Drosophila melanogaster: one gene and its partner. Each later gene encodes a partner of the first gene's protein in a complex. Each region holds a gene or a part of one and is shown in the gene's direction. Other genes may lie near its edges.

Region 1 (4,577 bases):
CCCATGTTCCTCCCTTCCCTGGTCGGATATCCTGGGTTCTGGGAGTACTGAGTCCGCCACCGTCTCGAGTCGTTGCTGTGATTTATTTTGCACTCAATGTTTGCCAAAGTAAAATTGATTGAAGCGTTTGTTGGCGCTTCAATTGATTTTCAGTACAGTACGTATACGAATACGTATGTTGCAGCACCCCTCCCGATTCCCATTCCCTTTCTTCCCCCGATCAGTCCATTTTTGCACCTTATTCTCTGCTCGTGGCCAGCGAAGCATTTCAAGTGCCCGGGCACTTGAGTCCCGGCTTGTTTACAGTGGTTAAATTAACTTTGGTCAATTTGGTTTTTGTCGAGTGGTCGGACATTGCATTGAGACGGAGTCGCTTGGACCTTACATTCACCAATCTTATTCGTAACAATGCTTTGTAGGCATAAAGCCTTTACTTAATACGGGAATTCATTCGAGGTTTTTTGAAGGGTGTTCCAATCGGGGCTGTCTTTCCATTGAGATATACATATATATTTATAATATAAAAATATAAAATTATTTTATAACAATTAATTAACGATATTATTAAATAATATTGCTCCAGCAAATATTTGCTGGCCTGTGTTTGGTTAATAGTCGAATAATCGGTTGCCCCTCAAAAATGTCACAGGCAAGAATTGCAACCATTCATCAAATGTCGTCCTGTGATTTTATTAACCGACGCTGATGGTGATTGAGGCACATCGGAGCCATCAACACCTGCAGACGGCAGTCGATCATCAGGGGCCCATCCCCTATTCCTAGCCACTTAACACCCACCATTTCCGCATCCCACTAACCAATTCCCCAGCAATCACCACCAACTGCAGTCGCATAAATCTTGGGCTGTCAAGTGCAAACAGAAGGGGAGAAACCATCAAAGATGGAGCTAACAAATTACTGACAGCAAAACAAAAAAGAAACAATAAAAACAAAAGGAAAGCGCTAAATAAGACAGTGGAGATGTAAAAAAGGGGATATATAATGGCAATAATAATTATGCAGAATATACCAAATATGCGAAGTATAAAAATAAACACGCAACGCAAATGTATGCCACTCATTTTTATGAATGAGCATTTATCATAATTAAAAATTCTGCCGGCACCGGGAAAGGTTCTTCCATCACACCCATACCCTCACCCACTTCGGAGGCCGACGTTTCTGACCTAAGACACGCCAAGCGCCGCACACATATAGCCAGAAATCGAGAAGTATCGTGAGAGTGCGTCAGAGCAAGCCGACAACAAGGAGGACAGCTTTTTTGGGTCTTCTCCGGCAGCGGAACAGCTGTTGCTGTTTGTTTTTGGGACATATCCATGGGAAAAAGTAAGGCACTGGAAGAGCCAGTGGGCCAGTTGGCCGGTTGGTGAATACCCCACTGCGCATGTCCGCCGGCAGTCGCACCCAAAGGACTCTCTTCCAAAGAGAGTTCGAGTCTCTTAGACCGCCGTTTTCCGAGCTAGCTGGCTCGGCTTTTCCCGCGAGTTGGCCGAGCTTTTGCGGGGTTGTCGTGACTGCTGAAATTACCCGTCGCCACTTCGAATGCCGTTGTCGTGGGCTTCAGTTGTGCTTACCGCTCAGTGTGTACCGTTGCTGTCAGTGAGAGTGACCCAAAACTGTGACTGTGACTTAAGCCGTGACTCTAGTGCGTCGGTGGTGCGTCTCGGTGGCGTATGCTTGATGTGATGTGTGGTGCCCTGGCGTATGCTTGATTTGTAATACGCGACCCGGGCGACGTTCTCGCAGTGCATCCTCAAGGATACCAACAGAAGTAACAACAAAACCATCATTGAATTGTGCGTCTCATTTGAAGTTAATCCATAGATATTCTCACACGCACTCGCTGGTGTGTGGTGCGGTGGCTGTGAGGTAGTGAGGTTCGGCCTGTGTGTGTGTGTGTATAATGCGTATGTAATCCAGACAAATCTGTCACGTGTTTTGGATATCTTTTTCTGAGGCCGCCAGTCCGGGTATTTATTGAAAAATTGCACATAGGTGAGTCAACTCCAAATCCCCGCTGCATATGGAAAATAAAATAGTACCCTCTCACGCTGAAAACTAAAATAGTTAAGCAGCTTATGGGCCATGAGGACAGAGCTATGCGGATGATGGGCCAATAACCATAGCCCTTTCCAAATATGGATAAATAAACAAAGATTGGTTATTTAGGGGGGCTAACAACCTTTATCAGCAGATTATTTAATACAATTAGTCTCCTATTTATAAACAATATTATGAATTGGGCTTATAAATAAATTGAATTTAATAAAAATAGGATTTGGTTTGATTGGGTTTTATTCTTCTTAATTGACTACAGATTTTAAAAGCAAATTTACTTCTTTGAAAATAAGCATCATCTTCAAGTGACAGGTGTTTGTTTTTGAATTGTTTGTACAGAATTGTTTAGAATAGTTAATTGTTATTGCATGAATTACTGGGTTCTATTTTTAACTCCTTTTCTTTAAATTCAAAATTATAATAAAATTGTTGTCAGGCCTTTCAATAGTTAAGCACAAATGTTAGAGAATTAACAAATGTTTCGAAAGGCTTAGACCGTAAGGATCATTAAATAAAAGTGAAAGGATAACATTCACATTACATTACCCAAAGATTTATGATTATTTTTGCCTGTATTGAGACTTTGGCCATAAATTAAATAGCTAATGGTCACCCCAGTGGATTTCTTAGCCATTTAACCTTTATGCCCAAATTAAATGACAGAATTTGATTAGACCTATACACGCAACCGGCTTTGGGTGCCTTCTCATCCGGCTGAGTGTATAATAAATGAGAGGTCCTCGGGGCTGTGGTATCATCCCCAGGTGGAAAAGTTTGGCAACTCCCCCGCTCGCTCAATTGTTTATTTAACAGCAATGAAAAAATCATTACGCATTTCATATCCGAACTTCAAAAGGTGAAATTCCCATGAAAAATTATATAAATAAGTTGAAAAGTTTTTAATGCATATCAAATAAAAGAAACATGAGTAGGATGGCCGGAATGCGACTAAAAATCAAATGTTGATTTAAAATGCAAAGTAAAATGACAGCAAGGAGAACAAAGAGTGAGCAGGACTTGCTGTCCTGTACGCAATTTGTCCACGTATTATAATTTTCCCCATTTTTTGCATTCTCTTACACCGCTGCTGGTTGCCCTTGTCCTTGCCCTACTCTCGACCAAGTTAATGTCATTTGCATTCGCCCATATACCCACTTTCCACACGTACATATATTTTTCAACTTTTCACTGGCCATATTTTCTGGTTTGCCGCTCGCCGAGCTGGTCTCGCTTCAAGTTCATTGTGCATTAATAATTTAGTTGTCGTTTCGCCTCCAATGCGAATTCGAGTCGACACCCAGGAAAACTTGTTGGTCGCTTGCCTTTTGCCCTTTGCCCTTTTTGCCCGCTTGTAATTTGATTTTGTTTCCCTATTTTCGGTTGTACTCCGCTGGTCAGCAGCCTCGATGGGAATTGTGGCTCTCCCTATCAGGTCGGTATCATTTGCATGACTGCCTTTTAAATTCGGTCCACTCGTCCTCTGTCTGCGGGACTCGAAAATAGGTTGTCTGATTAAATAAACTTGGCCATCTGTTAATAAAGATTCTTTGTGAGTGGCCAAATAGGTATGAAAATGTGCTCGGAAAGTACATACAACAGGGTGAAAATTGGATCCAATTAAATTGCATGGAACCTATTATTAGATTCAATATCGTTACCTCGATAGTTTAGACTTCAATTCTCTGATTACAAGGGTTATTTAAGGGTTTCTCTTAATTCAAATTATCCTTGTTTTCTGAAAATACAACTTTTATATTATACAGTAATATTTATCTTATTTTACAATTATTTCTATGACACAAACATAATTTTAAATTTGTTATTGATATGTTTGGCAATATGTTTTTCTAAAATTCTCGCGCCAATTTTAGGCCAATCGGCTTTTTTTTCATTAGTTTCCTGTCTCTGAAATATGACAAATCTGAAATCCATTAAGGTTCCATGAACTTTTTAGCTACAACAGCTCATTTGCCGTGCACTTAAAAGGATAGAAAAAAGGGACTAGAAGTGGCAGACGCGACTTGTGAATTTGTTGCTATGAAAAATGATATTAAATCGCTTTTTTCATTATTTTTCCGGTAAAATCGCGTTCTCCATCTTGTCAGACAGTTGTCTCAGCCAGCCCAGTGAAATCCCAGTAGCTAGAGCAAGCCCAAAACCCAAACCCACAACCTCGAGGCTCGTCTGTCGACGTTCCATTTTCAGTGGCGCGTTGCGTTTTGTCCTTTTCAGGGATTTGGACTGGAACTGCAAGAGGCAGGACACAAAGAAAAGTTCACAGAGGAGCGGGGAAATTCTCGTGGAGGCAGATAGAGCAAGTTGAAAATTCAGAATAATGAGGAAACTAACGAGCCAAGACTTTCTCATTGTTTACTGGCGCAAAAATTGCGCGATTATTAATTTTCTATGCTATTTTGTAGCTCTTTTTGCGGCCCCGCTCTGCGCCACTTCATCCCCTCCGTTCACCCTGCCACTGGCACAGCAGAGTTTTCTATATT
Region 2 (4,565 bases), about 22 Mb from region 1:
TCTTTGCAGTAACGAAGAGCTAACGACATAAACATCAACCGGCAGCCAATTAATGACAGCGAGCTACAGCGTTTATCGTTTCACTTACAAGCCAATACAGCGGAAAAACCCCTACATTTTCCACCCATACCATCGCCCTGTTAGCCACCTGTGAGTGTGGCCCAAAGGGCAGACAATGAAAATCAACTAAGCAATTGGCAACTAAACGAGACACCAGGATCCAGCTCTCCAAGCCGCTGCAGCAACAAAATGGGCCAAGAAAGCGCAGCTGGCTACTGTTTCCAATTAGTTGGCCATGACTGTGGCAAAAGTGTTGGGAAAACGGAGAGGGTGAGAGGAGTGCCGAGGCACACATGCACTGGCTGCAAAATGAAAATGAGAAACTGAAGAAAACAGAGAAATGGAAACTGAATTATTGCTCAGGACGAAACAGAAGTGGGGGGAAAATAAGGGGCCACGGCGCTTGACTCTAACATAAATGTAATGCTTTTATTAGTTATCGATACCAACACATACATACCCCTGGGTGTAAGCTAGTACACTGAGCAAAATGTCCAAGTTTTTACAAAATACAATTTTTTTTATAGGAATAATGATGAACGCTATTATTAAAAGAATATTTTCAAATAAAATGAATGTAATATTTAAACTGAAATACCTTGCATATGAGATAATAAATGAAATGCCTTTTTTAGTAAAAAATTTTAAATAAAGGTTTTCATATAAATTTGTATACTTTTACATTGTTTTTTCAAAGTTCCTTCATGTGTAAGAGCAAGAAAGATATGAAAAGAGTATAAGCGTGTCCCGCGAGGGGTGGTGATCTAAGGGGGCGGGATTGCGACTCCGGGGAAGACAGCGCTGGTATCCGGCGCCAAAGATTTACCAAACATCCGCTGGAAAATACCCCACTACGATTGCGACTGTGACTCCGGCAGCTGTTGTTGTTAGCCAAGTTCGTTGTTGGCAAACGCGATTGCAGCAAATCAGAAAATACTCGCACAAGTGCGAATGTGAATATTGATGCCACGGCGTAGGTATGTTTGACTTATAATATATGTATAGACATACATATGTGTGTGTGTATGGAGCTGAATGTGTGTTTAGTTGGCATTGCAAAACACAAACACAAAACTTCCATTCTGGTCGTGCTCCGCGAGTCGACTTTAGCCAGCCACTTGGCGCTACTTCGCCCACTTCAGCGCCACTCCACCCACTCAGCGCGCCCATCCACACACACACACAGAGGCACACCCACACACACACACACACACACACCCAGACATGGCCACAGAGCGCTCCTTGCTCGCTTACTTGCTACTTCCGCTTCCGAATCCGTTTTGTGTGCTGTCGCCGCAGAAATTTAACGAAGTCACACGTCGCCAATGCCAGTTCCTCTCGCTCTCTCGCCAAAAAAGCTCTGCGAGCCAGCATCCGAAGCATCCGCGTCATCGTGCCGCTCGTCGGCATCCTTCGTGCGTCCAGCCGTTTCGGCTCCAGATGGCAGCATCCTTTTTCATGCTGGCTCAGTTGCGAATTCAGTTTCGGAGCGTTCGGTGGTGGAGAGCAGCTGCATTTGTGCATTTCGCATCGAACATTCATCGTGATCCCAAGCGCACGAAGTTGTTGTTTTGTTTTGGTTTTTGTCGCCAAATTTCGCGGGATTTTTTCGTGAACGTGTGTGTGCGCGTGCATTTATTTCGCACACTGTCGACGGGGCAATACCAGGATCTGTCGCCTGTCTTCGCCTCAGACTTCTCCTCCGGATCCTGCGGAGCGGAGCGTACGTATTTGTGGCTTCAACTCCGTGTGTCGTATGTGCCCGTGTATGCCTCTGTGTGTCTGTGTGTGTGGCGTACCGGCATACCGTCTTTGTTGTTGGCCACCATTGTAATTGCAGTCAGTGTGGCACTGGCAACGCGGCGTATACTTGACATCTTCGCCGCCAAATTGTGCGATTTCTTCGACTCGTTCAGCTCTCGCGCTGGCTCCTTGAATGCGGCTCCTTGTGACATTGGCGTGAAGACGTGAAGAGCCCTCAAAATCCGCTATTCCACTGTGTTCGCAATCCATTTGCCTGCTGCCCTGGACGGGCAAACAAATTTTTGCAATTCAATTTCTATTGTGCATTGCCGATGCGAAATGTGCGCATCGTTTGCTGTCAATGCCAAGTATTCCGCATAAAAATTGAAAATTGCATGCAAATTAAATAAATAGAGTTCCGGTGAGGAGCTGAGCTGAGCTGCGAGTACCAGCTGAGATAGACACTCAAGAACCCATCCTATTCTACATACTCATCGCACATACGTACATATGCGAGTATCCTTGCGAAAATGACAGTTGTGAGTTGTGGCTCAGATTTGGATTCGCATGCGGGGCGCAATCAAAGCAAACGTCATTAGCACTCGCGACATCGCCTTCGATTGACAGCGGGAGTTGGAGCAGCGGCAGGAGCAGAAGGAGGTGCCAGATCCTGCGGCAGGATTCAGCAGCCAGGAGCAGGCACGAACAACTTTACATTTGCATAACTTCGGTGCAGCTCCAGCGTTCAGATTCCGATTCACAGGTACGAGAAAAACTCCTTACCAAAGTCGATTTCCGTTTCAGCAACCCCTTCAGACCGCCCGCCCGCACCGCATCGCTTTGCAACTTTGCTATCATTTCTATTTTCCTGTTTCTGTTTTTCATACCCGATATCTGTATCCCCACCAACATTTTGCGCCCAGCGCCCAGAAAGGGTAAAATCGGAGAATATTCAGCTCGTGCCATGGAGTTGGGCTGTGGCAAATCCATTGTGGTGCACTCCCGAGGTGGCTTGGATTCGCGAGCTCAGGGCCGTGGATTTACCTTTTGGGTGGTCCTGGGAGGTTCTGGCTGGTCCTGATGGCGATTAAGGAACAAACTCAGTTCGCTTAGCAGCATTTAAGCCCTCTCAGTTTTTTAGGTCAGCTCAGTCGCTCTTGATTTAATGATCCAATAAGGAGCTTCTAGGATGTTCAAATTGAAACCTGTTGGAGTGAATCAAGTTTATCCGGGGCAGCAATTAGAATGATATCCTAATGTCATTTCGAATGGTCGGGAAATGCTTTTAACATTTTTTTAAGCAATTGCAAAATGTAATATTCATAAGGTACTTGGAGTACTAATTAAGTACCAATTAATTGAAAATTGCAAAATAAAAATGGCACCAATGTTTAAATCCAACTATATCTTATAACAATTTTAGTTAGGCAAAAGAAGTTTGCTTTAAAAATTAAAATTTAACGATATTTTAAGACCTGAAGACAAGAACTTTCGCACAGCTGAAAAACTCAGTTTAATGACACTGCCAAATAAAACTACTAGTCATTTCCAGAAAGTCTTGTTAGCATTTGATGTAAATTGCAAGGAATAGTTTTAATTCTTGACCCGATTTCGGAAAAAATCGTTGGTTGCTTTACTAGTTTGGTAACTCTGTAGTAGTAGTATTTTTTCAATAATTTTCTATAATTTATTTTACACACTATCACTAAAATGAGGGCACCTGCGCGTCCAGAGCTCGTGACAATAGCATCTCCGATTTGTTTTAGCTTTGCCAGCTCTGCTCTTTGGTTTAGTATCAACTTTACGGCTGTTTCAGCTCCGGATTTCTTGCCCACTCCACTTCGGCTCCATCATGGCCACGTTATCCAACTTTTAGTTATGGCTTTCGCTTTTCGCATAATGTCAGTTTTATTTGGTTTTGGTTTTCACTGACGGGGCGTGCGCGCACTGGGTGGCAGTGGGTCTGCCCAGGAGGAGCAGGGACGTAGAGAATGGAGGCCAAAGTCCCGTCTCAGATCCATGCCAATGCCCAGGATTCAGGATCCAGGACTCAGGACCTGAGGCCTCCGGCCCCTTGCCCGGCCATTCGGCACCCTTGCAAGATTTATTGTGCCTCATACACTCGTACACACGTACACATAACACCTTCTGCCGGGGACCTTCGTCCTCCGTCCTCCCTGGATCCCTTTTGGGTCCTTCTCAGCCGCGCCTTGGGTTTCACATTCAGCTCCATCTCGTTCTTCATACATCTGCAGTCCCATAATCTCTACTATTTGCATCGCAGACTTTGCTTTGGATTTTCCTATGGCAATGGATTTAGTTATGGTTTTTCTTACTCTCCGGCTTTCCGCTTCCAGCCCTGCCATCGCCCAACGCCCCTCTCTCTTCCTCCTGCTGTCCATCCGTCTCCTCTCCGGTTGCGCTTTTTTACTTCACACACACACACACACACACACTTATACAGATTTTCCCGGCAGTCGGACGTTTGTTTTTCCTCTGCCGTTCCGCACACACACTGAGCAAAAAAGGTTTGCCTAGTTATGGCTCAGAAAGAGAGAGGTAATAGTTGAGTTGTCTGGGGCAGGGGTAGCAAGAAGAAGGACGAAAGTCCTGCGGCAAACCGCAGCAAGCGTCCCAGTTGTTGGCCAAGGGCGTCCAGGAATGCGTCTAATGAATAACCATCGTAATCCATGCTGAAGCCGAGGCGATATGGAAATATGTAAGACAGATTAGCTGATTGTTAGTCCGCGATGGGAATGCTA

Evidence for each region. Proteins that work in one complex are often made in the same cells at the same time.
Region 2: the proteins of dpr11 (region 1) and DIP-gamma are in contact, whole or in part, in a crystal structure (PDB 6NRR), measured with the Drosophila melanogaster proteins. Residues at the interface, in NP_001262320.1 of Drosophila melanogaster: Asn146, Lys147, Ser148, Ser150, Ile152, Leu154, Asp156, Gly157, His158, Ile159, Val162, Phe167, Ala169, Glu199, Gln201, Ser203, Thr204, Glu205, Lys207; in NP_651649.1 of Drosophila melanogaster: Lys69, Val70, Gly71, Trp72, Leu73, Arg74, Asp77, Gln78, Thr79, Val80, Leu83, Val88, Thr89, His90, Asn91, Gln122, Ile123, Asn124, Ser126, Met128.

Annotation. Positions count from the first base shown.
Region 1 is NT_033777.3:6,590,323-6,594,899, reverse strand, and holds the start of dpr11 (defective proboscis extension response 11), read left to right. Parts: upstream 1-1,569; 5' UTR 1,570-2,016; intron 2,017-4,577.
Region 2 is NT_033777.3:28,967,332-28,971,896, reverse strand, and holds the start of DIP-gamma (Dpr-interacting protein gamma), read left to right. Parts: upstream 1-1,524; 5' UTR 1,525-2,566; intron 2,567-4,565.